Xenopus tropicalis: one gene and its partners. The protein of the gene in region 4 purifies or fractionates together with the protein of the main gene of each other region. This does not show direct contact. Links are inferred from orthologs where the notes say so. Each region holds a gene or a part of one and is shown on either strand. Other genes may lie near its edges. The genes, in order: strn, strn3, rap2c and map4k4.

Evidence for each region.
Region 1: the proteins of map4k4 (region 4) and strn purify together in Homo sapiens (affinity purification with mass spectrometry; 4 studies listed by BioGRID and IntAct, with this or other methods). This does not show direct contact. The link is inferred for Xenopus tropicalis from reciprocal best matches to the Homo sapiens genes MAP4K4 and STRN.
Region 2: the proteins of map4k4 (region 4) and strn3 purify together in Homo sapiens (affinity purification with mass spectrometry; 4 studies listed by BioGRID and IntAct, with this or other methods). This does not show direct contact. The link is inferred for Xenopus tropicalis from reciprocal best matches to the Homo sapiens genes MAP4K4 and STRN3.
Region 3: the proteins of map4k4 (region 4) and rap2c purify together in Homo sapiens (affinity purification with mass spectrometry; 3 studies listed by BioGRID and IntAct, counting the BioPlex papers as one, with this or other methods). This does not show direct contact. The link is inferred for Xenopus tropicalis from reciprocal best matches to the Homo sapiens genes MAP4K4 and RAP2C.

Annotation. Positions count from the first base shown.
Region 1 is NC_030681.2:49,993,671-50,001,576, forward strand, and holds the start of strn (striatin), read left to right. Parts: upstream 1-3,558; 5' UTR 3,559-3,647; coding exon 3,648-3,917; intron 3,918-7,906. UniProt on the Homo sapiens protein: Calmodulin-binding scaffolding protein which is the center of the striatin-interacting phosphatase and kinase (STRIPAK) complexes.
Region 2 is NC_030684.2:113,224,715-113,232,753, reverse strand, and holds the start of strn3 (striatin-3), read left to right. Parts: upstream 1-3,289; 5' UTR 3,290-3,583; coding exon 3,584-3,802; intron 3,803-8,039. Other genes in the region: ap4s1 (AP-4 complex subunit sigma-1), read right to left, coding at 330-398, 1,533-1,619, 2,076-2,213. UniProt on the Homo sapiens protein: Calmodulin-binding scaffolding protein which is the center of the striatin-interacting phosphatase and kinase (STRIPAK) complexes.
Region 3 is NC_030684.2:67,491,875-67,499,726, reverse strand, and holds the start of rap2c (ras-related protein Rap-2c), read left to right. Parts: upstream 1-2,799; 5' UTR 2,800-3,073; coding exon 3,074-3,346; intron 3,347-7,852. UniProt on the Homo sapiens protein: Small GTP-binding protein which cycles between a GDP-bound inactive and a GTP-bound active form. May play a role in cytoskeletal rearrangements and regulate cell spreading through activation of the effector TNIK.
Region 4 is NC_030678.2:110,576,620-110,583,885, forward strand, and holds part of map4k4 (mitogen-activated protein kinase kinase kinase kinase 4), read left to right. Parts: intron 1-597; coding exon 598-684; intron 685-2,352; coding exon 2,353-2,586; intron 2,587-5,628; coding exon 5,629-5,790; intron 5,791-6,499; coding exon 6,500-6,730; intron 6,731-7,266.

The DNA of each region.
Region 1 (7,906 bases), on a different chromosome or scaffold from region 4:
GACTCTAGAATTACATGTCTTAAACAGAATAAATTTTATTAGTTCTACAGTGCATGATAATTGTAAACCCACCCCCCTGCTTTCTGTACCCCCCTAAAATATCTTCTTAGTTAATGGCAAAAAATAAAGATTTTACAAAAAAGAGGAGGATAGAAAGCATAAACGGCAAATTACAAAAAAAAAATTCAGAAAAGGGGAGATGAAAGGAGAAAACCAGGACAGAAGGGGCCGAGGGTAAAGGGAGCATAATAATTAGCATGTAAGTGCAAAAGCAAGGTCACAAAGGGCCATTTATTTTGTTTTTCCTTAACATATTACCCTTACAGTGAGATTATTTCTCATTTATTTATTCTTATTTCTTATTTATTTATTCTTTATTATGCTGCAGAATACAAGATCTTGACTGCATGCTTGTTATCTTTCTATAATTTAAAAATAGGAGCCTGAGTACATATACTGGCAACCAACTATAGTAATATTTCTTTTATATTAGGATTACCCTTTTCAAAGTGGAAGTGCTGTTCTTGAGTGGATAGAATTGTTTGGAATTTGTCTTTTTATGCTGATAGCAACAAAAGACGTGCAGGTTAGTATAAAAATAAGTAGAAAATATCCCCAACCAGTGGTTTGTGAGCAATATGTTGCTCCCCGTGGCCTCAGTGCAAGTTCTCTTTTTTGAATTCCAGGCTTGGGGGCAAGATTTGGTTGCATAAAAACCAAGTATAATGCCAAACAGAGCCTTCGTAGGCTTCCAGTTAACATAGGTCTACCAAATAGCCAATTATAGCTCTTATTGGCACCCCCAGGAACTTTTTCCATGCTTGTGTTGTTTCCCAATATTTTTTCCATTTGAATGTGACTCACGAGTATAAAAGGTATTGAGAATGTGGAATCTCCTGAAGACCTAAAAAAAGAAACTTACAAAAGCCACAGATGAAGGAGGAGTAGAAGGTTTCCAATACTGCTTCTCAGAATTACCTTATACGGACTGATATTTTCAGAAAAATAAGCAATATAAAGTAACAATAACAATTAAACTGTAGCCTCACGGAGCAATCGTTTTTGGCTTAGGGGTCAGTGACCCCCATTTGAAAGCTGAAAAGGCAAATAATTCAGAAACTATGAAAAACAAGACTAATTAAAAAGTTGCTTAGAATTGGCCCTTCTATAACATACTAATAGATAACTTAAAGGTGAACCGCCCCATTAATAGTTATTATAGAGAGTTATTAGTTTTGTTAGACAACTTTAAAGGCATGGGTACTATAAAGGATTATGGAATTTCTAGCCATATTCATTTAGAAGGTTTACTTTTCATTTTCCAATGAAAGATTTGTGATGATGTGTGCAATTAGTGGATACTGCTTTCTCGGTTTCAAAATTACACAAAAAGGCAATGTTTAGGACTGTCTAAGGCCTCTTCAGATATCCACTATATCATTACACCATATTGTCAAAGACTATACACCTATTTAAAAAAAACAACTTTCTATTAAGACCATGTGATGGACTATGCAGTCTATTAATCCACTGCATCTTTAGTTCATTTCACATCAGTATGTTGTTGCCTCGTTTCTGAAAATCTCCATTGAATCAATAACCTGAAAACGCAATTAGATAACAAAATGTTTAGTTTGTTGAAAATGTGCTGGTACAGTTGAATGCTTAAGTGGGTGGAGAGTGGTGGATTTGTGTTTAGAACTGTGATACATGGGTGTATATGGTTGAACCTGTTTTTCAGAGTCTGATATATAATTGGCTGGTGTCTGGCCTAAAGAGTAGTTATACATAGTAGCAGCAGCAGTATGAGAAAAATGGGTGAGCATTACCCATGTCTGCCAGTCTGTACGGTGACGTCATGGCGGGGCCTTGTTAGTCTGAGTTATGTTATTCTTTTCTTGTGAAATTTTTAATAAAAAAAAAAATAAAAACCCTCTCCTTCCTAAAACTTTGCTGCCCGCTACAGACTAGGAGCAGGGGGCAGCCATGGGCAGGATGTGGAGGGGGAGCAGTAGCGGTTGCTGTTGGGATGACTGTGCATGCACATGTACCCCCTCTACCTATGTCTGTATTAATAAGTGAGAGACAGGGACTTTGCCGTCTCTATTACTTTATTTTACCAATTTGCATCATGCCATAACACAAAGTGGTGCTCCACCAATCTGTAAATAAATACACTGGTCTTATATTTTTGATGTATTCTAGCCTTAAAGTCAAGCAAGAACATATATAACTAATGGTTTTGTGTGTCACTTTTTTTGACGCCCAGTTTATCTGTTTCTTTAAGCAAAATCACACTTAATTTCTTGTGTCTGATGTAAATGCACATAATACATATTAATGACTTCTCTGAGAAAGCCAAATGATCAAATTAGCCCAATATCGCCCACTTTTAGGTGGGCATATTGGGAAAAGATCTGCTCACTTTGCTACCTCGCCAAAAGATCGAATCTTACAGTGTATGGCGACCTTTACTGCAGACGGGGGGAGGGGGGGTTAAATCAGGATGACTTTTGAGAAATAAAGGGGAGTAAACATGGCTGACTATAGATATTGCTTTGTTCATCAGTTGTTAAAATGTAATCTTCTGTTGCACCATTTGAGCTAGTGCCCAGCACATGTGCAGATGAGTGGAGCAGATAGCCAGAACAACAGTAAGGTGGCGATTTCATGTATAGTATGTGTATGGTCTGATCAACTGGACAATGTGTGGGATGGGCCCATGTAACACTCCACCTTAACACTCCATTGAGCAAGATATGTTGTAAGGGGGCTTTCATTAGGCAACAGGTAAAGATGTATAAACACAGCACAAACACTGGAATAAAAGCTAGAATATTTTGCTTCAGACAAATATAAATAGTACATGATGTGTTGATTTAAACAAATAATTTGATATATTTTTATGTTGCTAGTTCATAAAAGGAGAATGGGGGTGCCAACGTGTTACCCATCCCAGTGAATAAAATTGCCTACTTTTTACACTGGTCTGACACTACCTGTGGACTGGTCCTTTCCAGTGCAGTACCACAACACTATCTTCCTCCCTTCTTTCAGTTATTCCTTGGGCAGTAGCAAAGCTTTGGAGTTGATGTCTGCTGACCTGCCATTTTCCTATACCCGTGTTATGAGTCTAGGGGGACCCTGACTATCATTAGGTTGAGATTTTTTTCCACTTCACACTGAATGGTATGGCCTAAAACATGGCCGATCATTATCACATTCACGATATGATCTCTGGGTGCTTGAACTGAAAAAACACGGCCATATATGTCACTATGAAATAAAGCTGACCGAAAAAAAAAAAAAAACCCTTCTCACAGGAAGCCCGACTGGAAGGGCGGTCCCGAACGCTTGGGCTGCGTGACGTCACTAGCCGCTGTCAGAGTGGCAGGAGACCCGCCCAGACAGCAGCGACAGCCTGGCTTCCTTCGAGTGTGGGCGGCAGCGGAGCCCGGGTTGCGGTGGATGTAGGGGCGGGAGATTGGACGGCGGTCAGGACGTATGTTACGTGACAGGACCGTTCCATAATCAAACCTTATCGCTTGCTTGCGGAGTGGACGCGCTCGCTTTCCCTTCTTCCCTCTCCGGAGCCATCGGTGGCGGCCCCTCGCTGTTAACCGCGGCCCCTGCCACGGAGGGCGGCCATGGACGAGCAGGCGGGGCCCGGCGTATTTTTCAATAACAATAACAATTCGCTGCTGTCCGCTGGTGCTGGCCCAGGTGGTGCCGGGAAAGGGTTCGAGGCTGGTGCAGCAGATGCGGCCTCAGTGGCCGGGGGAGGCGGAGGAGGAAGCGCTGGTACGGCTGGTAGGGCCCAGTACAGTATCCCTGGCATCCTGCACTTCCTTCAGCATGAGTGGGCTCGCTTTGAGGTGGAGAGAGCTCAGTGGGAAGTGGAAAGAGCCGAGATGCAGGTAAGGCTGGGGGCTGCTACTGAGCCCAGGCGTCTGTCACTTTCACCTCTACATTCCCATATGTGAAACGTACAAGAGTTTGGCGAGAGCTTGCCTGCATGTGTGAGCTGTGTGCCTGTGTGAGCTATATGTGCCTGTGTGAGCTATGTGTGCCTGTGTGAGCTATGTGTGCCTGTGTGAGCTATATGTGCCTGTGTGAGCTATGTGTGCCTGTGTGAGCTATGTGTGCCTGTGTGAGCTATGTGTGCCTGTGTGAGCTATGTGTGCCTGTGTGAGCTATATGTGCCTGTGTGAGCTATATGTGCCTGTGTGAGCTATATGTGCCTGTGTGAGCTATGTGTGCCTGTGTGAGCTATATGTGCCTGTGTGAGCTATATGTGCCTGTGTGAGCTATATGTGCCTGTGTGAGCTATATGTGCCTGTGTGAGCCATATGTGCCTGTGTGAGCCATATGTGCCTGTGTGAGCTATGTGTGCCTGTGTAGGCTGTGAGCCCAGGAGCAGGCAGCCTTATATCTGAGTGTGTGAGCCCAACTGGCCATGGAAACCAGGGCTCCCATTTATACACGAGAGGAATATGATGTGTGGGAGGAGACCCTCACAGGCATGTACAGTATCAGGCATGTACAGTATGTGTGAGATCACACCCAGACATTCTATATCATGGGAACACCTGAACTGTGTTTGTAAGCTTCTACAGTTCTGACTTGTGAACATCATCATTACTTATTTACAATATCTTCATTTGTCATTCTGTGATGTTAGATATTGACAGTCATAAGGGTAAAGAAAGATCTCAATGAACTGTTTTTTTGCCCAGTGAAAGCAAAAGTACAGTCATTTCCTAATATTCATTAATAAAAAAAAAATAGCGGTTTGTGTTTATCCCTTGCTGTTCCCTGGTTCTGACTTTTGGAACAATGTCGCAGAAGTCAGTTCTCCCCCATATCTTCTAATTAGCATCTGCTACAATGTTTCAGGGCTAGGAATCAGAACTGTAGCTTTGGACTGGAATTGCATTTGCAAATAATTTTTGTAATGTGAATAATAGGTGTTGGAAAGTTGCTTGGAATCTTCTTTGTCATTAAGCAATGTGGGTAATTTTACACATGCTTTTATCTGTCGGCACACATAAGTTGACCTCCATTTTATTGAAACACCATCTATTCAGTATTTAGCACATGTATGATGTGCACAGTGATGTCATGTGTGCCATATGTGTAAGCTTACGTTAGGTATATTTCAAATGGAAATGGAATGGACCCACTGCTGGCTTCTGTTTACACAGAAACAGATCACAAACTAATTTGAACTTGCTCTTGCCCTACATATGGAGGTTACTGAAGTTTCTAGATATGTAGACACGTCAGCCCATTGGCTCATACTGCATGCATGCATACATCCACAAAATCTTATTTATAAAAAATTTTAAAAAAAATAATGTACCCCTTTCACCTCAGATTGACTTTGTATACAATAAAACCATCATCAGTCATGCTGTTGCTGCATGTGGGTTAAAGTTTATGGACACTACACATAATTTTTCACTTCCACTAACAAATATCTCTTGGATGGGGTCTAGTATTTTACTTTTAAAGGAGAAGAACAGACATACAATACAAGAATTCCAATACTTTCCTGCATGTTACATTTATGTATACATTGTTACACTGGTATCCATATACATTATGTTCACTCTGTCTTTACGTGTACAAATGTTAACAGTACTCCAGCCTACATAAGGATCTCACCACCCCAACCCTAGCATTGCTGACACAACCAACTCTATGCTCTCAAGTCAGTATCAGACCTGCAATTACAACTGGGCTGGGACTGTGTTAAAGGGAATTAAATGAAAATAATAGAGCTTTCCTTATTTACTAATAGTACTGACATGATCCTGTCAATTATAGGATCCTGTCAATTATATCGGTTTTGTGAACCAAGTAGTTATGGCTTATACATTTTGATTACTCTATGGTTTGCACTTTGGTTCTGGCAAAAAACAACAACATTTTTTTAAAATACAAATCGGAGGATGTTCAGAACAGTAAATAGTTGGCGGCCACCAATTGTACAAAAAATGACTTCCATTTTAGGTCCCTCAAGGATATCGTCCTTATACAATACAATACACGCACAGATTTTTTTAGTTAGGGGACAGAAATTTTCTAACCTGACTAATTGACTAAATGACCAATCACCATGGTAGGAAAATTATTGGATGCTAATTCAGAGCCCACACACGGTCCGAAAATTGTACAAAACTAGGTTTCATATGATTTTATCAAAACGTGTATGGCCAGCTTTAGCTTTTACTAAAGGGGTAAATATCCCATCATGGTGGCTTAGTAGTTGGTACCACTTCCTGCAGTGCTGGGATTCTGAGATTAATTCCAGCTTTGAAACAATCTGCAAGTTCTTCTTGTTCTCCCTGAGCCTGAGAACACTTTTCCTACAGGTGCTTTTTTTTCCTCCCACATTTCAAAAGATACATAGGCAGGTTAATTGACTCCTGATAAAATTGATCCCTACTGTGTGTAAATATGATAGAGACTTAAGGTTCCCATACACGGGCCGATAGTAGCTGCCGATATCGGTCCCTTGGACCGATTCGGGCACTTCCGACGGGATCGGGCCTGATGGGCCATAGGGCAGGTTAGAAAATCTAGTTGGATCGGGCCGATGCGGACCCCGGACCGACTTTACCTTTGCCCGTCATTATAATTCGATCGTTTGGCCCTATGGCCAAACAATCGAATTCTCCGGATATCGCCCATCCATAGGTGGGGGATATCGGGTGAAGATCCGCTCGCTTGGCAACATCGCCAAGAGAGCGGATCTTATGGTGTATGGGGACCATTGTAAGCTCGACTGGGGGAGGGATGTGAATGATGTATAATCTCTGTAAAGCGCTGTGTAATGTGTTTGTGTTGTATAAATAACAGATACTAATCATTGAATATTGTCCAGTAATACTACCTCAATTATGGAAGCATATAAACTGGTCACAAATGTTAAAAGATGGATTCATAAAGTGTCAGTTTTCCACAAATAAAACCTAAAACACGATTTTGATTTTGCTGTTGCAGTGTCTGATTCTTTTAAAGGAGAAGGAAATGTTAGGCTCCCCCCAGTGATTGTAATCACTTACCTGTTACCCCGGGCCAGTGCCTCTTTTAGCAGGAAACTGCACCGACCTGGGATACCTGCGAGCGATTCTCTTCCTTCTTCTTTCTTCATGCCTCTTGCGCATGCGCAGTAGAGCGAAAAGCCAAACTTAAACCAAAAAAATCAAGTAAGTGATTACAATCACTGTGGGATGCCTAACATTTGCTGATTTTACCTTTCCTTCTCTTTTAAGTGCCATTTCCCAACAATTGACACCATAGGAACAGTGTCCATACACTCAGGTTTGTCTACATTGATGTAGCAGTGAGTGGTTTCATGAATCTAGAAGCAGAGCTTGCAGTTATTGTCCATGATATTCCATTGTGGTTTAGCCAGAAATAAGTTTTATGGCACAATATGAAAGTTAATGTAATTTTTTGGATTCTTCAAATACCTTCTTTATTTTAAAATTGATTTTTTGGTGTATTTATTCCTTATGGTAAGGATACTAGATATTTTGATTTATCTGGGGCACTTCTAATAAATTCATATTGCCAGGCCGCATAAATTGTAAATTTGTTACTTTATAAATTAAAGGGGTAGTTCACTTTTAGGTGAAGTTCTAAAATGGTCAGTTCTAAGCATCTTTTAAATTGGTCTTCATTATTATGTATTATTTCAATATTTTTTTAATTATTTGCCACCTTCTAACTCTTTGCAGCTTTCAAATGGGCGTCACTGACCTCAGCAGCCAAAAAACTATTGTTCTGTGAGGCTACAGTTTTTTTGTTGTTGTTACTTTTCTATTCATTATTTCTATTCAAGTCCTCTCCTATTCAGATAACAGATTCTTTTTCAAATCACTCCCTGGTTGCTAAG
Region 2 (8,039 bases), on a different chromosome or scaffold from region 4:
CCTACATATTTAAACAATTAATGCTCTAGTGAGATAAAGTCCCCCAGATACACTACAGTACTTCCACCATTGTCTACCTGTACTACATTACTACACTAATCACTATATGTATAGTTAAGCTCTCCACTGTAAGGAGATGCATAATACTGAACAAGCAACACCTGAATTATGTGCTGATTACACTTTTCTGTTGTTATAAAACATATACATAAAATCTTAAAAAAAATAAATAAAAAAAAAATCTTGTCTCCTCGTGGGAGAAATGACAAGGGGTCCCTTTAAGGACTTACACAGGAAATGATGTACTGGCATAGTTAATAGACACTCACCACTCTGCTAAAGTACTTGTCCAAAACCTCCACAAAATTATGAATGAGTTCAAAAACTGCCATTTCATTCTACAAAGATGGAAAGTGCAGACAGATATAACATGAATATTATCACTCGTTTATAAAAGCTAAAAGACTTGAGCGTTCTCTACAATACACTACAAACATACATATAATAAAGCAGGGTCAGTGGGTCCTGCAATAAGAACTTCCCACCTAGAGGATTAGGCACATAAGACAGAAGTGGAGCAGTAAAAATGCTCTAGGCCCTAATAATAACATAAACCTATGATACATGTGATTTCTTATTGTAGCTGGAAGAACGGTTTTCCATTAGGCAACACTAACGGGTTAATGTTCACTGGCAAGATCAGTACTGTGCGGCTTTTTCCATTCAGCTGCTAAGTTACTTGATAAATAACAATCTCTTAAGCCAAATTCCGTTAAAATTAGGATGTTATACATAAACATCCACTGGAAGGCTACATCCTGCCCCAGCACCTTCATTTAGGGCAATAAATCTGGGATGTCCAACCTGTGCAATGACAGGCAAGGCATATTGTTACAGTGAAAAAATTGCCCAAAAATGTATCACCATTGCGAGTAATAAAAATTGCTGATTTTCACTATCCACAATGGGAAGGAATTTTTGGACCTTTTGACACTGTGACATAACACCTTGTCCATCATTGCCCAGGTTGGACATCCCAAACTTTTTTAGTTTTTTTTTTTTTTTTTTACTATACTTGGAGGCTTAGCCTTCTTTCAGAGCCTTCTAAGCCCTCAAAGTCATACTGACATGTTCCTATGAAAATCAACAGAAATGTGTCAGTGTTAGTTCAAAGTTGTGGCATGAAAATCCTTCTAGCCAAAAGTCCCCTTAAGCCTAAAGCCACTCCCAGCCCAGCAATACTTGCTGAAGTCAACACTTTGACATGGCTAAAGGCTCCTCTGCAGTTATGTCAGTCACTCTGACTGAATACAGTACTCTGGCCTATGAAAAAATTGCACCAACCCCCACCCAGCATTGGTGACACAACTGCTGAGGAGCCTTTAGCCATGTTGGAGTGGCTGGGAACAGCTTTAGGGGACTTTGGCTACAAATATTTTCATGACACAACTCTTTACTAATGCTGATATGTTCCTATGCATTTTCATAGGAACACGTTGGTATCGCTTTAAGCATTTAAACCAGCACCTTACCTCAGATTCATCGATTCCAACGACAATGAAGAGAGATGCATATTGCCTGTACACCAGCTTAAAGTCTTTGTACTCTATGAAGGAACACTGATGGGAAGAGAAGAATTAGGATAAGAAGTATTATTTCTCTACTAGGAGAGAGAACATAAGAAAATCCAAAGATTAAAAGATCAAGAGAAGTTTTACTGGGGTTGATCATTGCTATTGCTCCAATTGTGAGGGTCTTAATAAATGTATAAAGTAAAATCTGCCATTAACTGCCAAGGAGTAGCAAAGAGGCACAATGGTAATATTTACACAGGGGTATTAACAATAAAGCAGCCTGGGCCCCATCCAGCTAAAAATGTAAACAAACAGTGTGTGTTGATTACATACCTTTGGGCTAGGCCTGATATTTTGCCTCACTCCATAAGGCAATATCAACATCTACCCAGAGTGTGTGCATAAGGGAAAATAAGGGTAGGCTCCATCTAAACAGATAAAAGGGGAGGTAAGGAGGCAGGGATTGTCACTATCCTACAACCTCCATAACGCAGTATTCACCTGATCCTTGGAACGTGACAGACACAATTTGATGACGTCAGATTCCAGCAGTGTCCGTCTCTGGACTTCCATGCGTTCATAGTATCTTGACAACCTGGTCTGTCCCTGCTTGTTCACAATGAGGAAGAACTTGATCATCTCTACAGACGAGCTGCTATCCAGAGCTGGAAAGGATGTATATAAAACATCAGGTTAGATGTCCTAATGTACAATGCAGGCTATAGATGCTTATAGCGGCAACAAAGGGTGTCTCTTGTGTCATGGTTTAAGGTCCTTGCTTGTTGATGGAGCAAGAGGATTTAGCACTATCTTGAACTGAAATGTACCAAACACCAGCATAAAGGTGTAAGGTGGAAATAGGAGCTCACTTATTATCAGCCTGAAACTACAGGGATCTGGTGGGATACAGATAGGGGGATTTCTGATTGGCTGCAACTTGCAGCTTACTGACCACATTTCTAAATGAGAATATTTAGAAATAAGACCAGTGTTGGACTGGGGTACCTCCGGCCAGCCACAATACCTGAACTCAAGAGCCCCCCTGCCTGTGAATGGGAAGTGGCCATGGTGACCAAGGGCCACACTGACATTTATCTGCAGGGCCAGTGAGGAGACTAAGGGCATTCTTTCTGCCCCATCCCTTTACCACTTTTTAGTCCCTACTGTCTGAACACTCTCAGGCCAGCACCAACAAGCTGCCGGTATCCCAAGCCTCAAGTCATACTATTGCAACGTATTTATACTGGCATGAAACTCACATGGAGCCTAGGGAATAGCGGGCTGCAGGCTATGGGAGAGAACAATGGCACAGGCAAGGATAGGCAGAAGCTGCTTACTGAATTCACTGTAGATACGAGGTGGCCATTGCTACTGTATGCATACTGTATGTAGTGTGTGCACAGTGAATCTAATTGGCTCCCCATTTGCTAAACCCTCCTCAGGCTGATAAAACACGTTTCTATTTAGATCACGGCTCCAGGGGCCGGCGAATAAAATCTCTCAGCCACTCAACGAAACCTGAAAGCGACGGCCGGTTACCCGTTCAAGGCGGGAGCATCCCATCAGTGGAGCGGCCGGCTAACCAACAATGATTTCCGGTAGCATTCGGCTGTCACCATTCCATGCGGAACTACGTCACTACTAGCCCTCTGGGCGGGGCGGGGATCACGTGACGCATATTGCCTTTGTGACGTCAGTCCGCTAGGCCCGCGCATGCGCCTTGACGCTGTCAGCGGGAGGCGGTGTGTGAGGCCGGTGTTTCCCAGAGTGCCCCGCGGAGCTTACCGGACCCCGGGGGGGAAGTGACAGATAACAAATGGGCAATATCAGGAGTGCGCTTGTGCGCAACTTATAGACGGGACGGCGGCGGGCTCCCCTCCGGGGGGGCGAGAGTTACCGGCCGCTCCATCTCACTGCTTCTCTCCTGACTGGCACCGGGGAGCTATTTGCCCCCTAACGGGACGCGTCACTTGTAGCGGAGTCCTTGCGAGAGGGTTGGTAGCGGCGGGATGGAGGATCTCCCGGCGGCCGGAGGAATGGCCGCGTCTCCGAGGTTGCAGGCCGTGGGTCCGGCCCAGTCCCAGGGAGCCCCATCTGAGCCTGGCTGTGAGCTAGCCAGCCGCCCCCCTCAGTACACTATCCCCGGGATCCTGCACTACATCCAACACGAGTGGGCCCGCTTCGAGATGGAGAGAGCGCACTGGGAGGTGGAGAAGGCCGAGCTGCAGGTGAGGGGTCCGGGGAACAATAGGGAGAGACGGGGGGCCCCACCGGGATGGCAGTGTGGCGCCCCCTACAGACTCGCACCCGTCTCTGGCCTTTCCTCATTCCCAGCTGAACTACATCTCCCCGCACCCCCGGCACACTCCGGCTGTGTATGAGCTGCGGGGAGTCCGGCACAGGTGCCCAGGGGGAATGCAGTGACAGGAAGCGGGGCCTTGCTCGGTTACTTTCAGGTCGCCATTTTGGCAGGCTCGCTTTTAGGGTAGGGCAGAGAGGGCATTTGCTCTGGACCCCCAGTATCTCATGGCTCCCTTGTGGGGAAGAATTGCAAGTGTGTAACAGTTGTCAGATATTGTCCCTATACAGATCAGGGGGGCAATCTGTTGCCCTCTAGCTGGGTTTTAGCGTCCCACCCACCACTGACCAGGGGTTGCTGGGAATTGTAGTTCTGCAGCGTTCATAGGGCCCAGGTGGGACAACCCTCCCACATATTGAGAGCCCAACCTTCTTGCAATGCCATGGAACCTTTCTTTTTATCTATATAGGGGCCTACGTGGCCGACATTCTGCTCCCATTAGCAGCCTCCCCCTGGGGAAGGCCTGTCTCTCCTCTCCAGCTCAGGACAGAGCAGTGACAGTGGGTAACTGGACTGTAATGACTGGGCCAAGTGACTGCCCTGTTGCTCCTGTCATTCCCAGGGCCGGCACCTAGTGATCTTGTCTGCAGGCATTCATTTGCCTCACTTCAGCTGCCCAGGTCATGCTGACCCCAGTGGGCTTGCAGGGTGACAGATAGGATTGTAAGCTGTATTAGACTTATTCCCCAAATCTCAAAGTAGCAGAGCTACACCACAGTGAGTGAGGATAGCCTATATGTGGGCTAGTGCCCAGTCTGAGCCAGGCAGATTGTTCTACATAGGTCTTTAAACTTATAAAGTGTTCCATTGGTTGCACAGGTCCATCCTGTTCTAAGATCCTATTGTATTCACAGGTAATGAAAATGCCCGTCCTTTATTTTCAAGTGCAACTTTACTTTAATCCACACATTGTTTGATCTAATCCTATGCATTCTTGTCTATTCTGCCCATACCTTTTATAAACCCTATATTAAACATGTTATAATTAAGTGCAGTGAATAAAAACTCTATTCACATTTTAACTACTGACTTAGGTAGGTATGTGTAATTGTGAAGGCCATGTATGAGCTTTTGTTTCTATCCCAGTGCTAGTACGCTGGAATTGATTGGTGGTGGTGCTCCTTTTATTATGTTGGCTAACTGTGTGTGTATGTGAATAACTGTCCTGAAACTGGGGTATTCACTAAGATGTTTGTGATACTATATCAATCAAGAATAGCTTAATTGTTGCTTAATTTTCAGTGGCTGACAATGAATAGCCTAATCAGGATACAGTGGAACCCCGATTTTACATGTCCCAGTGGATGGTGTCAAAATGGTATAAAATCTGGGGGGGAACAAGACGCCACTTGCTTGTATGGGAAAACTGAAAAACTATCAATAATGGGAAAATGTTAAATCCAGGTACATAAAATCAGGGGTTCTATTGTAATATGGCATGTTTGTCTTTGTTAATACTGATTAGTTCTATTTCTATATCCCTAGAAAGCAAGGCACATGGTGAGGGTTGGCAGGCTCTACATGTAGCCAGTGTCACATTTAGGAGAATTGGGAGAATTTTTATAAATCTAGAACTGCAACCTTCTATAAGCAGGTGATGTATCTGCCTTGCTCACAAGGCTCTGAGGTTCTCTGACTTTGGCTAGTATTGATTAGTTGTGTTTCGCTCGGCATTTGCCCAGTTTGTATGACTTTGTGTTCCCTTTGTGCAGAATATTGCTGCTATTTGAGTTCCTTTGGATGTTACAAAGATACATTAGCAAAAGGCGGCGCTTCTGATCAAGCCGTTAGCAATTCTAGTCCTGACTTCCATGCTGCCATTGCAATCAGATTACTAGTTACTTTGTATCTAAACTTCTGTAAAACTCAAAGAAACAGTTATGATCCTTCCCATTTGGCAGTAAAGTGTAAGTGTCCAACAGGGTGTCCATGTGCTGGGAATCAGCAGCAGTGTGTTACACTTAGCCTTTATGACACCATATGCTATAACCTTATCCAGGGCAGTCACAATAGAGAGAGAAGACCCAACAGCTGCTGGAAACCCAGGAGGCTTTCAGCTACTCAACTTGTACAAACCTTTTCATTCACCAGTTCTTTCCCAAATTTAACTCTGTTAGTAAGAAAGGTCTAAAAAGTTTGTGCTGTTAGGCCCATTTTACACTTACTAGTCATTTGGGCTTTCATTTTCCTGATAGACAGTTGATAAGGTGAAAATGGTTATTCAGAAATCTTTTTAAAAAAATGCTAGGTTTCAATATATTTCTGCACTTTTTGATTGCAATTGACAAGTGTTACCTGTATTATAAACACTGCATACACATTTGTTTAGTGCTGTAACTTCTGGCGTCCAATTTAACACTGGGCAAATGTAGTTGCACAAGTACTTCCCGCATAGCAACAAATTGCCAGGTTGCAATGGCTTTCATCTATGTAAGGCAGGTCTGAGAACATTCTTGTGCTTTAACTCTACAGTCAGTGGTGGGTTTCTCTAAATTCCCACTCATTGGCTGCACAGGGGTTAACACTTCTCTTGTGCGACTACACTTAAGACTTGTCATACTATTTACTGGATATCATATTGCAAAAAAACAAGGCCCTAAGAAGTGTCATCTCCTGAAAATAATTGTAACATCACCAAGTGAGATCACCTTGCTAAAGTGATAGTGGGTCAGGCTCCAGCCCTCAGTAACAAACCGTATCACCTTCCATGTCTAAATTAAATCACTTTGGAGGCACAAATATCCAGGGGACTTAAATGAACAGTAACGGCAAGCTTATGCCTCTATTTAGTGTAGGTGACAACTTACAGGTATACAGTCAACATACACCTCTATGTATTTTATTATTTAGTACAATTTACAAAACCTTGGTGCTGTGAGAAAACCAAATCTAAGGTTTTAATTTACGCAACAAGCAAAACACAAGCATATTAAAATATCTCTTATTATATCACTTTCCAGGATTGCGCTTTCTTAAACATTTTTCATTTTTGCTGTTATGTTGCCTTTTAGATTTCATAGGATTCCATCCCAGAAGCTGCAGTTGCTCTTGCAGTAAAAGAACTGTTGTTTCTTGACAAACTCAAATCCCCTCGGTGGCAGATACCATTACAAAATCCTATTCATATGTTAGGAATGGCGTAAGCTTGGCCTGTGCACAGGGCCAGTTCCTATAGCCGGAACATGTGGCTTGTTTTGTTTCCGAGCATTCCTGCTGTGCTGGAATCATCATGGCTGGCATTCTGTAGCTCTTATACTGCTTCATTACTAAGGGGCCAGGAATAGGTTTGGTTGCCTCTCAGGGAGAATTGCAGCAGTTGAAACCTGCCCTATGCCTGATGAAAGCTACACTGCAAATGCTATATCTCCCGATTGATACCTCTCCATGCCCTGCCAAGATAACACGGCCTTACGTGTATGTGCCAGTTCTTCAATATAGTGGAGAAAAGGGGAAACTCTTTTCTGAAGCAAGTTCAATGTTTTGCTAAAGAACCGGAGTATGTAACAAATGTTGCAAGGAGGACTGTGACATGGCATTGTTTGGAAACAAATAAATAAGATAACCTGTAAGAAGATACAAATAGATCTTGTTACAGAGAACATGTTGTATTCAGTTGTCATCCCCACACCGGTGTAAACACCGGTTGCATAATAAATCACCACCTTAATCACATGAATAAAGCAATATATAAGTTTTCCGTATTCAAGAGCTTTATCCACATTCTGATCTGTGCAATTTAGCCATGAATGCAGATAAGTCAAGCACTGGTCTCAATGTATTCTGCTCTCTTCTAGTGCACTTCTACTTACTGTGAGATCCATTCTCTTCACAAGTGCATTATACTATAAATGTAAGTTAATTTAAATGTTACACATGTCCAGGTTTGGCATGTATGACAAGTGTTAGCCCGAGGAGGCACTGCCCATGTACATATATTGCATTTATGTAGTTCAGAGAACCACATTTTTTGGGCAGTATAAATGCTAATTCTGATTTCTAAATGTTTGCACTTAAATGCTATTCTCAAAGCTACCTGGTTATATTCCCACTCCTGTATCTAGTGTCAATGTGCCAATTTAGCCTGCATTGATGAGTTGCATACATTA
Region 3 (7,852 bases), on a different chromosome or scaffold from region 4:
GAAGCTATGAAGACCAAGCTAAAATGGCAGCTGCTATCTTAAACAGAGAAATCTTCTAGTGCTCTTTACTCAGGTATGGTAATGCTTTCTGCAGAATAAATATAGTGTTCTAGGTGGCACTAATGTGGCAAATCTATTGGCAGTAAAATACCAAAATGACTTTCCTTCTCCTTTAAAGGAGAAAGAAAGGTAAAAACTAAGTAAGCTTTATCAGAAAGGTCTATGTAAATACAGCCATAAGCACTCACAGAAATGCTGCACTGACTTCTCTGTGAAAAGATTCCTTGTGTCTGTAATTCATGTGCCAGAGATATGCAGCTCTCTGCTGTCTCCTCTCTACTGCTCCCCCCTCCCTCAAGAATGCTAAGAACTCACTCCCCACCCCCTTAGGAATGTGGATCTGAGCCAATCAGCAGGAAGCTGACTGGCAGTATGCAATTTCATAATTTGTTTAAGGGATGTAATGCCTATAAAGTTAACAATTTCACAAAATTATTTTCTTTACAGAACTCTTGTTTCCATCATTCTCCTGATTAACATGTGGTACCCCCAAAGTCAGAGACTTAGTATTATGCACAGCCACTTGCAGCTAAGAAGCCTTTCTACCTAAGAATATTTAATTTCACCTGGCCCTGATTTGAACAAAAACAACTTCATTTTTGGCCAAAGTGGGAAAAAGGGCTCTGATGGTGGCAGGTACGTTTGGAAACCAGGAAAAATGTCTTGGGGCCTGTAATGCCACCATTAACAAAAAAAAAAAAAACTAAAGATTAATGTTGGTACCCATTAAATTATCCTAATTAGCCCATACATTGGTCCTAGATTGCTAAAAATATTGACCTAGTCTTAACATAAAACACTGAAAATAACTAAAACTCTGTTTATGGTTAACTGGTGTGCCAGCACTGGTCTTCACAAATGCCCTTTCTGCAAAGTGGACAGGGAACCTGCACACTCAGGCCCTGGGAACACAGAGTAGTTTGCGGATCTTCCATACACTGCTCCGTGTGCCTGCACTGCAAACTACAGCTCCCACCTCAGGGCAGGCACACACAGGAGTGGAGGTCGGCCCAAAAAGTGCTGAAGCAGGGGTTTTCTGGCCGACCTACACTCCGCTCTGTGTGCTGCCCTGAGGTGGGAGCTGTAGTTTTCAGTGCAGGCACATGGAGCAACGTATAGACGTGGATCCGCTTCTCTTAGACTGACAGGAAAATGCAGTAAACAAACCACTCCGTGTCCCCAAGGGCTAAGGACCAGAGGAAACAAGAGTAACCAATTAGTTTTGGTCAATTTCACCCATTGTCTCCTCCTAAACTCGCCCTTGTTCTATCCCTTAAGGGTGAAGACACATGGAGCTACTAGTAGCAGCTACTTGTAGTGGCTTCTGAACTAGACAATGCAGATCATTTACTGATAGTTGTCTCTACGTGTGTTTTAGCAGATGCAATTCTCAGTATTGTCTATGGCAGGGTATTTTCTGGAGTTTAGTAGCCTTGAAAAAGTAGCTGCTACTAGTAGCCCAGTGTGTCTTCACCCTAATTGGTAAATATCTGCCCCTTGTTTGCACAAAAATAGCAGCACCCTCAGACAGCATCCTAAAACACGTAGGGTTAGTTTTTTTTTATATATTTTTCCACCCATTGACTGCTCCTGAATTAGCCATTATGTGGAAAACCTGGCCCATCTACAAAAAAAAAATACTAAAAAGATCATTAATTTCACGAGGACCAAAAAAAAAACCTTTTTCCTTTTTAATCAATTTTGGAGAAGCAGCTCTGATGGCAGCAAGTACTACTGGCAACTAATAGAAAAATGTTTTATTTTTCAATTCCCTGGCGCATACTACTTATGCTCTCAGCAGAAAATATAAATGCCTTCTGAGGCAACATTGTGGGCAGGGCGGCAACCAACACAAAAAAAAAAAAAAAAGTATTTTTCTGTTCTCTAACACATGTAGGAGGTGCGAGCAGAGCAAACCAGTCTGTGAGTGGACCTACTTCCACTTCTTAGCTGCTTCCGACTGTGTATCTCTAACTTCCGCCATCCCTGCGTTTCACTCCAACCAGGCGGCTACGAGATGCGTCATTGCGCTTGCGTGTAGTCGTGACGCCACAGTCTCGCGTGATGAGACTTGTGGCGTTGGGATTTCCTGTAAGACAGGCGGCAAGGAGCTTGCAATCAACAGCTTTGCGGGACGTGTGAGTAGCCATCCGGACTGCGGGCTGTGTTGGGAAAATAGGGAGTGTCCGGGGAATGCTGGACTGTTGGGGATTATGCTTGGAGGCCTTCAGAGTTTGTATGCTTGTACTAATGTAGAGGGGCCTCTGTACTGGTACATACAGAAAAGATGCATTTGTTGCCCTTCACTTCAATGGGTAATTATCGACTTGGTCTCTTTTGCTGGGTCAGTAGCCTCATTGCCCATGTGTGGGTGTCAGAATATTTGTCTCCTCTACTGATTTCTGAACAGGGCTCGAAATAATGAGGTTTTTTTTGGCAGAGGCATCAATAATCATATCAACCAAAATTGCCCCTACGAAATGGCTGGCTAATGGGGCAAAGAGTCTGTAATTCTGGCCTAATTATTAGGTTGTGAATGTCCTGCTTTATGGAAGTAATATAACTTGTGCCTGTAAATGTAGAGACAAAAACAATGGGGTGGTTGTTCATTTCCTGTTTAGAGTAATACTCTGAAATAGCAGGAATCTAGGTATGTGCATGACTGCTTACTTCCATAATATACCATTTATCATTTTTTGAATAGATAACCTGTTTGTTTGTCTGTATTTTTCTTATTAGTTCTGCTGTGACAGTTCAGGAAAGAAACTTACCTTACTATTCTCATTTGAAGTTGAACTGCTTCCTGGTATTGGACCCAAAGTAGGCTGTGCAAAGCAAGAACTGCCTTTTGTACTCTGAATCATCCAGCAGAATCATTTCAACAGTCTCCCTAGATAACAACACTGTTTCCAGGAGGATATAACCAACTTGGATCCTAAGTCAGAACACTAGCCCCATCTTCACTCCAACCTGACGTGGTGTATGTGCTGTGTGACCCCACTTGTCCGAGCCCATGAGGGAGTACAAGGTGGTGGTGTTAGGCAGTGGTGGGGTTGGGAAGTCAGCCCTAACTGTCCAGTTTGTTACGGGCACCTTTATTGAAAAGTATGATCCTACAATTGAGGATTTTTATCGCAAAGAAATTGAGGTGGACTCATCACCCTCTGTGCTGGAGATCTTGGACACAGCAGGCACAGAACAGTTTGCTTCTATGAGGGATCTTTACATTAAGAATGGCCAGGGCTTTATCTTGGTGTACAGCTTGGTAAATCAACAGTCATTCCAGGTGAGATAACCAGTTCCTTCACATACAGTGCCAAGTATGAATGAAAATGTTACATGTCAGTGAATTTTTAAATAGTTTACTATAGTGATGCAAAGAAACACCCATTGCTACGTTATAGAAATCTTGCTGATTTGCCAGATTTTGCTTTGCACTTACAGAGGCAGCATACCTCTTAAGATTAGTTAAGCTTGTGCTGAACATACTTTTTTCCTATTAATTAAGACATATGTGTTGGCTAAAGAGAGTAAGCATTAAAATCGAGTAATGTCACATGCTACTTCCTGTTTATACAAGCACAATTGAGAAAAAAATCACTAATCCGCTAAGAGGCCCTTTGTATAATAAGCTGCTCTTCTCACAAAGACTGCAGTCGGGGAAGGGGTTTGTTTATGCAGAAGGCTTCTCAGTGGATTTTTGGTGTGTGCTTTTAGAAGAACAAAAGTAGAGTATGACCTATTTCAGTTTAAGATTTTGCCAAATTTAGTTTAAACAACAACAATTTCTCAATTAAAGCAACAGGCAAAAAGTATGTTCACCACAAACCATATCCTCTGACAAAAAGCAAATTGTGCACCTTGGATTTAAAAATCCAATATCTTTATTGTTTCAGTATAATAACATAGCGCAGCTAAGAGGATTTCAGAGGAGATCAAAGGCTTTATGTGTTTAATAGCCCCAGGCTACTTTTTTAGAACCACAAACCATATTCATTGATCTAATGTTGAAGAAGAGGGTGTACTGCCCCTTTAACCTGGCCATATGCTGAAAATTCAAGTTTGGCCAGTTTGCCAAGCGAGTGGATCTTTGCCCAATTTGGCCACCCACGGGATGGCATACGTGCTGTGTGTCAGGGAAGTACATGTATAAATATCTCACTTTGGGTCTGTCAAGCCCTATAACTGTTATTATACATCAGAAGTTAAATGTTTTCAGAGTATGTGAGCTGTATAAAGGCTATTTCTGACTCTTTCTTTTTGTGGTCACATAACTTTTTGGAGATTTCTAATATTTTTGGAATTTACAGTAGGGCCACTGTATAATATTTTTTTCATAGTTACTATGGTTTTCTTGTGTCAAAAGACCAGTAAGTCATAAAGGGATTTATTTTTTTACATTTAATGTTCATCCAGCACCTAATATACTGTTTATTGACAAATGTAGGGCCTGTTTTGTATAAGAGTTTTTCACTCTGTAGTTATGTAGAGAGTCATTAAAGGGATGGTTCACTTTTAAGTTAAAATGTAGTATCTTATATAATGGCCTATACCTAGCAACTTTGCAAGTGGTTTTCATTACTTATATTTTATAGTTTTTTTAATTATTTGTCTTCTTTCTCTGACTTTTTCCAGCTTCCTAATGGGGTCCAAAAAAACTATTGCTTTGTGAGGCTGCAATTTCATTGCTGTTACTTTTTATTACTATTCAGGCCCTCTCCTATTCATATTCCATCTCTTCTTTAAGAGTACTTTTATAAAAAGTTCTGCTTGGATTAAGCACTGTAATGATTAAACTGAGCTCAGGAGAGGAGGTTAGGAGAGAAAAACATTTCCCCAGCAGAGTGCACAGCTAGAACAGAGTTTCTATGGGAACCAGCAGTGCCATCTCTTCATTGGCTGCTAGACTGGATGGGATGTCTGGTAATGAGTTGAGAAGAACTGTGCATGCTCAGTTAAGGTGGCCATAAACATGCAGATTTAAGCTGCCGATTTGAGTCCTTTAGACAGATTCGGCAGCTTATCTGCCCATGTATGGGCATCCCCGACCGACATCTGGCCTAAAATCGCCCAGACATTGATAAGGCAGGTTTGATTCTCCGTTGGATTGGGAAACACATCGGCTCATTGATGCGGTCGTTGGTCTGATGACACCTATGCCCACCGTTTTAATTGGACCATTTGGCCCTAAGTTTGTTTCTTCTTTAGGGTTACTTTGTTTACAAAAAGCATAACTCTAATTCCTTGATATTTATATTAAACAATTTGTAATAAATCTGTTACTAATATATATCAATTCTATCAATTGTGTGTTCATAAACTCATTTACATAGATTTCCATTTAATCTAAAAAGAGTAACATTTCAGCAATCCAGAACTGGCAGTTTCATGCAATTAAATGGTAACTGTTTAGATTAAATGTTTAAATGTCATATAAACCACCCACAAAAAAATATAATCCGTAAACAGCCTCTTTGAAATCTTTAAATATTTGCCACTCTGGTTTTCAAAAATTAATAGTAAGGCTGCAACATCCCCTTAATCACAGTATTCCTTATCCTCTTGTAGCCCACTCAGCCCCCTCGCTCAGGAATTTACAATGGCTGTTGGCTACTGAGCACACTCAGCTTTTCTCGGCTCAGATTAATAAACACGCCCTCTCCAGTCTAGCAGCCAGTGAAGAAATTATATTGCTGGTTCCCATAGAAACTCAGCTCTAGCTGTCTGCTACAGTGCTCAATCCAAGCAGGACTTTTTTTTTTTTAATCAAAGTAAGTTCTGTCTGTGTAAGCCTGCATTTTTCATTGCATGAATGTTACATCACACATGTGCTGTTTGGAGATGTAAATGTCACTGATGATGCGTCAGGGAAAATGGCCACCAACTATTTGTTTTAGGAAAATGTGATGTTTCTGGCAAAAGGAGGGGATATATGCAGTACAAATGATGCCATTTGGGTGTGGGAGGCATGCCCAACTGATATACTTTGTAGGCGAATGTATGCTTTATATGTCCTTTAATGTAATTTATGAAGCTAATCTATTTTGCTATTTCGGTTTATTTATAAAATCTTCCAAGATATTGTTTACCCAGCATCTCACTCCCTGGCAGCAGCACTGATCTTTTGTACAGCAGCAACAATCTGCAGTTTCTTTCAGAGCAATATGTATTTTTTAGTGGTTTTTCCATTGATCAGCTTACTCTGCCATTCTGTGAAAGAAACAGTAGGGGCAATTAGTTCCCCTCTAACAGATTTATTGCTATTTCTGAGTTGCTCAGAAAACATTAGTTTTGGATGTGACCTGACATCCTTTTACCTGTGTCTAACCAAAATATACCTGTTGGATTTGTTTTTTTGCACCGGACCATAATGTCTGCCATAAGTAAATGTCAAGAAATCTAGCTGAACAGCTTTTTCTTTTATTCTTTTCTAACATTTAGGTTAGCTCATGCTTAAAGCTCTCCCCTCCCTTTAACTTTTCTTCCCCCAACAGAATACCTTGGTACGGTCAGTAAGCAAACCGCTTTAAACAAACAATAATGCCAAAACATGAAGTGTATAAAATTAATTACAATTTAATGTACTGTTGTCCTGCACTGGTACAACTCTACTAAGATTTATGTAAACAAAGCTGCATAGCCATGGGGGAGAAAAGGCACAGGTTACATAGCAGATAACAGTTAAACACCATTGTGATCTACAAAACTTATCTGTTATCTGCCTCCGTGGCTTCACAGCAGCTTATTTTATATAAACTATAGTAGTGTTCTAAAAAAAACTACTTTCATCATTGAGGGCCACACTATATTATAATTACTTGTAATTAAATTTACATTTTTTGGTGTTACTCTTCCTTTAAGCAGATATTCCAATAGCTCATAGAATTAGCTTAGATGGCAAATGCTTTGTGATAGGCAATATGTAAGCTATGCCAAATTAAAGTATTGAATTTAAAATATGCCATCATTGGAATTAAGGGAGAGGCTTTCATCAGAATATGATTTAGTTAATGTAACTCGTACAGGCTAAATTCTGTAACTAGGGGTTATATTCTCCCTGCAGTTTATTCAGTGCTGTATCTGCGAACTAAAGATTAATGGCACTCACAGCATTTTTCTGGCGGGTGGTTTAGTCTGTGGAAAACTGCTTAATACCACACACCCTTCAGTGCACACACACTTAGGGAGCAGAAGGCAGCAGATTTGCTTTTCAATGCTGGCATAAATACACCAGCAGATAAAATGATGTATGCCATTATCCATAGGGTAGGAGCACATGCAGGCGAAGGAAATCTGATGATTTATTGTCATCCACTGGGGCTATATAGCCATGTAGCCCCATTAACGGGCACAAAGTATGGGGCTGCAATGAGCAGATTTCTGCATGAATATGCTACTGCGTTTCCATGCCAAAATTCACTCAGTGTTAACTTCACACAGGCAATGCTGTGCCTGTCAGTGGGGCTACACGAAGGAGCAGAGGGCAGCAGATTCCTCCACCTGCATAAAAATGCAAGGGGAGGAAAGTGTAGGATCGCCTCTGTGTGCCTCTGCCCATGAACTGTTTTATATTGCTTTCTAGAAATAGGTCTCTCTGTTTTCTGAGGGTGCCTAACAGCCTACTTTTTTTTTCTCCACAGAAATCAAGGAAACCTATTTCTAGCCAGTTTAAGTAGCACAACTAACCTCCATGTATGATAGTAGCTTTAGGCATAAGGCAGGGGCACATGTACATTTTATGCACAGGTGGAGGAAAGTAGACAATCCACTGCATGTGAGGTACAGAAGTTTT
Region 4 (7,266 bases):
AATCTTCTTAGCGTAAATGGAACTGCCATTCTTTGTGTTGGATATAAGTAGATACAGGGCATGTAATATCCTGGAAAAAGAATACTCAAGGAAAAAAAAAACTAGCAAAAACTAATAACACTATATATTAAGTTTAATGAAGTGAACAGAGGTGAAAGAGCCAACCAAGAGGCTGCTCGGAGCACAAGAAAGCCCACCTTATTGCAGTAGCACCTCTGAATATTGGATCTGAAAAAAAAAATATAACCTTCTATATACAGTTTAACATTTCCAAATATTTAATTCTTCAACACTACTTTACAACTTACTCATTTTTTTGGTGCTGCATTTTTATGTGAATGCCTTTAAAACAGTGGTTATTCCTTACAGGGAGGTTTTCCTTAAATTAAAAAAAAAAAAAAAAAATAGGTGCAAACATTTTTTGTGTGTAGTAAATGGGCAGTACTGTCAAAAGCATACATACATAGGAAATGTAGGTGTGTAGAAGTGTAGAATTTTTCCCTAGCACATTTTCAGGCAATGTGTGCTTTGCTAGAATTAAATCATCGCAACAGGTTTTGGGGAAGAAAAATAACTGTAGGAAATTTTGTGTGACAGGAGTATATCCGAAGACAGCTGGAGGAGGAGCAGCGGCACTTAGAAATCCTTCAGCAGCAGCTGCTTCAGGAGCAGGCCATGTTACTGGTAAAGCTCTTTGACAGTCATTGGTGCTGTAACTAACAAGTCGAAAAGCCAGCCTTGTTCAGTGCAGCTGCACAAGCTGTGTAAACAACCATAGGCAGTTTATGAGGTGTTTTGTCACATAATGGAGATTGACAAGCACAGACACTCAGATTTTCTGGGTGCACTCACATAACATGTGAACTCTCCTTGTGATGTCTAATTTGAATTTTTAACCCAAATGTGTGGGGTGGAAATGTGTTTGTGTGGCATATCAAAGGTATATTAACCCACAAATGCTGTATTGTCAATTCCAGTTATGTAGAAAGTGCCAAGCTATATTAAAGTGCCGTTCCCAGAACAACACAGTATAATGTGATTAGATGTAAATGCATCAGTGGATTATGCAGAACCTGATTAAAACATAGCTTTCTAGGAATCAAATCAAATAGCCATGTTTTCATACTTAAAAAGCAACATATGCGGCCCATGGATTATCCTTGTGTGGTATGTTAAGTGAAATATTCTTTGCAATACAGTAATTCCTAAAGGTTTAAAGTTACAAGGACACTCTCCACCCCATTGTTGCCCAAATAGGCAAATGGCATCTTTTACAAAAAAAAAAAATCTTACACATTTTGACCAAATTTGTCATCTTGATGGAATTAAATGATTTTTGATCAACAGTTGATATTGCAAGTAGAAATTTCGATATTTGCCCTCTGTAGAGCCTGAACAGTCATCTGACACACTTTGAACTATCTGGGGCCATGTGCAAATAGAACTGTCATCCTTTTTGCATGCTAATTCAACAGACCAAGTATGCCCCCACCAAGACTTTTAGTGCTGTATATCATTATACTATTGTATAGATTAAGGGTAATGTTTGTTATCCTTATAACTGCAGTAAACTGAAACATTGATCAGTTTAGTGGAAAAGTGCCCTTGAAACATTCTGCTAACCATTTATCATACTGATGCGTTTGTAACATGATATCTAGTGCAAGTCAGATGTCTGTCCTGAAGCCCCCCAGCTGTTGTTGAACCAAAACTCTTACCATCCAGATCCATTGACAAACTTTGGCTGTCATCAATTGGAATGCTCAGACCAGATGTTTCAGCTAAGAAGGAATGAGGCTGTACGCCTCTCTTATAACATGGGGTTAGCTTGCTCTCTAGTGGAACACATTTACTTGCAAAATATTTTATGAACATTAAATGTGTTATTCATTGATAGATTTTAGCTGCTCTAATAAATAGCTAGTAGTACTGACGCGAGGAAGTTTGAAAGGCCCTGTGTGATTAGAGGCATTTAATAATTAAGAGTAAATATGATTCTTTGCAGGTTACACAATTCAGAATTTCTAAGCTACCATTACAAATAACCATAATTACTAAAGTATCTCTGAGAATGTACTGTGTCTCTAAAAACACTGTTTTTCAACTAATAGCCCCCCATTTGTTGCTGAACTAACACTCCCAGTATGTCAAAAAAAGGCAACAGAGGTAGAGGAGATTTGCATTTGTACATTATCATACTGAGAATTATATTTTAGCAACAATTATCATTTTATGTATCATTCAGTCTATTTTTGTCTGTGTGTATGTATATATGAATATACTCTGTATTAATGTCTTCCTGTATTGTTTATTCTTGTAAAAACTTTCTATGACCTTTCCTGTAACCCTTAGGAGTATAGATGGCGTGAAATGGAGGAGCACCGCCAGGCTGAAAGACTTCAGCGTCAGTTGCAGCAAGAGCAGGCCTATCTCATGTCACTACAGCATGATCATAGACAGCAGCAGCCACCACAACAGCAGCCCCAGCCCCAGCAGCCTCCACTGTCCCAGCAGGAAAGGAGCAAGCAAACATACCATACCCAAGAACCCAAGCCTCATTATGAACAAGCAGAACGAATACGAGAGGTGGGGGTTTACTGCAGTGTATATGCTTGCTTACAGTTCAGGCCTTGTACTGCTGCTGTTTCTGTTCTCCATTCTAATGTTTACATTATGTGTTGATGGATGAAACTGCAGATCTGCCATGACCTGCTTTCTATTTAAAGGGATATTGTCCCTAAAATATATATTTGCCACAGCGCTAAACTGCATGGTGGCACAGCTTCCAATATTTGTCTTAAAATGTGTCCATATCCAGAAACATTTGCTATCACTAAATGAATGATTGATTAGCATGATTAACTTTCTTCTGTAGACAAACCGGCACTGAAACTAAAGCTGGCCATACATGTTAAGATTTTTATCCTGAAACGATTGTTTAAAAGTATGACTTGTCCATTAACGAAAACGACCATTTCAAATGATATTGTCTAGTTAAAGTTAGGAAAACTAGGAGTTGGACAGTGGACAACTGCAATTGTCAACAACGAAAATTTTCAAACCTGCCCAATCAGTTTTCTGACTGATGTCGTATGCAAAATCGCTAGATGTATTACTGTTAGGTGCTCACTAACCTTTATGATAATTTGCTTTGTCAGATCACACTAAAATTGGTCATTAGGGAGAGAAAAATTTTAAGTGTTTTATTATTAGTGTTTGCAGCACTGCTTGCAATTCTTCCAAGTTAGTGAGATAAGAGATATGTATTTATTTTTACTGTAATCAAGTGTACTTAAAATGTACTTATAGAGTTGTGTAAAATAGGTATAATAGATGTAGAATTGGTGTATATAGTTGGTGAATATACAGTTGCAAGAAAACCCTTTGGAATTATATGGATTTCTGTACAAATTGGTCTTAAAATGTGATCTGATCTTCATCTAAGTCACAACAATAGACAATTACAGTCTGCTTAAACTAATACCACACAAATAATTAAATGTTTCCATGTTTTTATTGAACACACCATGTAAACATTCACAGTGCAGGTGGACAAAGTATGTGAACCCTTGGATTTAATAACTGGTTGAACCTCCTTTGGCAGCGATAACTTCAACCAAATGTTTCCTATAGTTGCAGATCAGGCGTGCACAACCGTCAGCTGTAATTCTTGACCATTCCTCTTTACAGAACTGTTTCAGTTCAGCAATATTCTTGGGATGTCTGGTGTAAATCGCTTTCTTGAGGTCATGCCACAGCATCTAAATTGGGTTGAGGTCAGGACTCTGACTGGGCCACTCCAGAAGGCGTAGTTTCTTCTGTTTAAGCCATTCTGTTGTTGATTTACTTCTATGCTTTGGGTCGTTGTCCTGTTGGAACGCCCATCTTCTGCTGAGCTTCAGCTCGTGGACAGATGGCCTTAAGTTCTCCTGCAAAATGTCTTGATCAACTTGGGAATTCATTTTTCCTTTGATGATAGCAATACGTCCAGGCCCTGACGCAGCAAAGCAGCCCCAAACCATGATGCCCCCACCACCACATCACAGTTGGGATGAGGTTTTGATGTTGGTGTGCTGTGCCTCTTTTTCTCCACACATAGTGGCACATGTACTAATCCACGAATCTGATTCCCGAATGTGAAAAAATCTGATTGGAAATGAAAATTTTGTGAACTTTTCGGTGCCGTCGCGTTTATTTCATATTTTGCACACGTCACGACTTTATCGTATTTTGTGCGACTTTTTCCTCGCCGTCTCAATTTTTTCGTATTGAGCAATTCTAAACGTCGGAAAAACCAATCTGATTTTTTGGCGACGAAAAAGGCCCGACGGCGACAGAAAAAATCGCAAAAAAGCGATTATTACTAAAAAAACGCATTTGGACGCTTTTCGGACGTTCGTTGATTAGTAAATGTGCCCAATAATGTTGTGTGTTTCTTCCAAACAACTCAACTTTGGTTTCATCTGTCCACAGAATATTTTGCCAGTACTGCTGTGGAACATCCAGGTGCTGTTTTGCAAACTTTAAACGTGCAACAATGTTTTTTTTGGACAGCAGTGGCTTCTTCTGTGGTATCCTCCCATGAAATCCATTTTTGTTTAGTGTTTTACGTATCGTAGATTCGCTAACAGGGATGTTAGCAGACGCCAGACACTTTTGTAAGTCTTTAGCTGACACTCTAGGATTCTTCTTCCCCTCATTGAGCATTCTGCGCTGTGCTCTTGCAGGCATCTTTACAGGACGGCCACTACTAGGGAGAGTAGCAGCAGTGCTGAACTTTCTCCATTTACAGACAGTTTGTCTTACCCTGGACTGATGAACAGCAAGGCTTTTGGAGATACTTTTATAACCCTTTCCTGTAAGTCAACAATTCTTAATCGTAGGTCTTCTGAGAGCTCTTTTGTGCGAGGCATCATTCACATCAGGCAATGCTTCTTGGGAAAAGCAAACCCAAAACTGGTGTGTGTTTTTTATAGGGCAGGGCAGCTGTAACCAACACCTCCAATCTCATCTCATTGATTGGACTCCAGTTGGCTGACACCTCACTCAAATTAGCTCTTTGAGATGTCATTAGTCTAGGGATTCACATACTTTTTCCACCTGCACTGTGAACATTTACATGGTGTGTTCAATAAAAACATGGAAACATTTAATTATTTGTGTGGTATTAGTTTAAGCAGGCTGTGATTGTCTATTGTTGTGACTTAGATGAAGATCAGATCACATTTTATGACCAATTTGTGCAGAAATCCATATAATTTCAAAGGGTTCACATACTTTTTCTTGCAACTGTATAATATTAATAAAGATCTCCCTCACTGTTAATTATCTACCTCACAAGGGCCAAACATGAAGTAGCTTCAGGTTCCCTGTTTGCCTTGTTTTATGTCAGGAAATAACAAAAACATTAGATTTTGGTAATTACAACAATAGGCAATAGGTATGTTCTGCACAATCCCAATTAATTGAGCTCATGTTAAACGGGATCTTGTTCCTTAATTTAAATGCTTCATGTTTTTGTACACAGTATAATATTTAGTTGTAAACACATTATCAAGTTATATGAGGGTAGGGATGAATTTTCCATCTACTCTGTTGCAATGTTTGGTTGGTTTTTGTGTGGTTCAGGCAGAGGAGCGCCTTAGGAAAGCAAACCAAGGCTCCCCTGAAGCCCAGGCTAAGCAACCAGGAAGAGTTTTAGAGCCATTAGTGCCTTCAAGATCCGAATCATTTTCCAATGGAAATTCTGAGCCTGCTCAACCTGCCATGCACAGACCAGTGGAACCACAGGTATCCTAAAATTTAGCTTTAAAAGATGTTTTTTCCTATAATTGTTATGTTTCTTTTCACTTTTTTCACTATTATTATTGGAACTTTTACTACTGTTCGTTGCAGTCAATGGCACTAGTGTTGAATAGTAGAAATCCTTGAATGTTAAAGCAAATTGTTTCCCACTTAATTTTTATTAAATAAGGCTTATAAATAGGAGAAAATATCTTTATTATGTAAATGTAAAGGTAAATTAAGGCTAATTAGGCTATTTCTTATACCAATGAATTGCTTACTGATGTTCGCTTGCTGCATATACAGAGCTCAATTTATTACTTAAATAAATATGAATATTAGTCTTTGTTTTAGAATTCTTTTTCACATAGAAACAAGAGATGTTTAAGTTATAGTTTGCCATAGATTATACCAAAATGTATAAATTATTATTAAAAAAAAAATAGATATTATAAGAGATTATTTGAAGCTAGTGAAATGTTTTGAGGGCACTGGTGCTCATTTAAATCCTGTTACTGCATGCAATCATATGCTATATAACACATTAACAGCAGTTCAGTCCATTTTCAAACCATTTTTCATTACAAAACTTGTCTCTGCCGTCTTATGTCAGTCCCAGTTTTGTTTTTTTTGTTTTGCCCTTAGCTGAGCTTAGTGAGAGAACCCAATATGAAGAGCTTCCATTTAAATGTGTTATGTCTTGTTCTCTTGTAAGGTACAGTGGTCTCATCTGGCATCCCTCAAGAACAATGTATCCCCTGTCTCGCGATCCCATTCCTTCAGTGACCCTTCTCCCAAATTTGCACCTCACCTTCTACGATCTCAGGATTCGCACCAAACTTCACGCAGTGAAGTGCAAAGTCAGGGTTCTGACCCTAAGTCTGAAATCTCTGAGCCAACCCAAAGGGTTTGGGCTCGATCAGACAGTGACGAGGTGCCTCCAAGGGTAAGGATTAGAAAGAAGAACAGTAGATTCCTGTTAAGGGTTAGATTTTAACTACTAGCCACTCGGTTGGAATTGCCTGTACAATGGAATGTTGGAATTGCCTGTACAATGATTAAAACAAGGGTGTATTGCATTCTACGAGATGTTCGGTTAAAAACTCGTTATTCAGGGATCGTTTGCAACGTGCAGTATCATTCGTCATTGAATCCATTTTGTAGATAGCAATAAAATGGGCTACTAACCGTGGTCGAGTTGCAGACCAGACACTGATCTCTGAAATGCAATGAACATCTCTCTGGGGTGACAGCCCCACCCCCTTTAAAAAAAAAAAATCTGTAGGAAAAGTCCAAGTAAACGTTTGAAACAGTATGCATTTTTCAGCATAGTCCTAAAGGAGTACGGTGAACTTCTATGGGAGATACACCTTTGCCATTTGCTGCTCTACGTATTTTTCTGTAAATATAACCTGAGAGGCTGTGGAGTATGCCATCCAGTGTTTACAGTTATAAAGTTTGTAAGCTTTTGTGGAATACAAG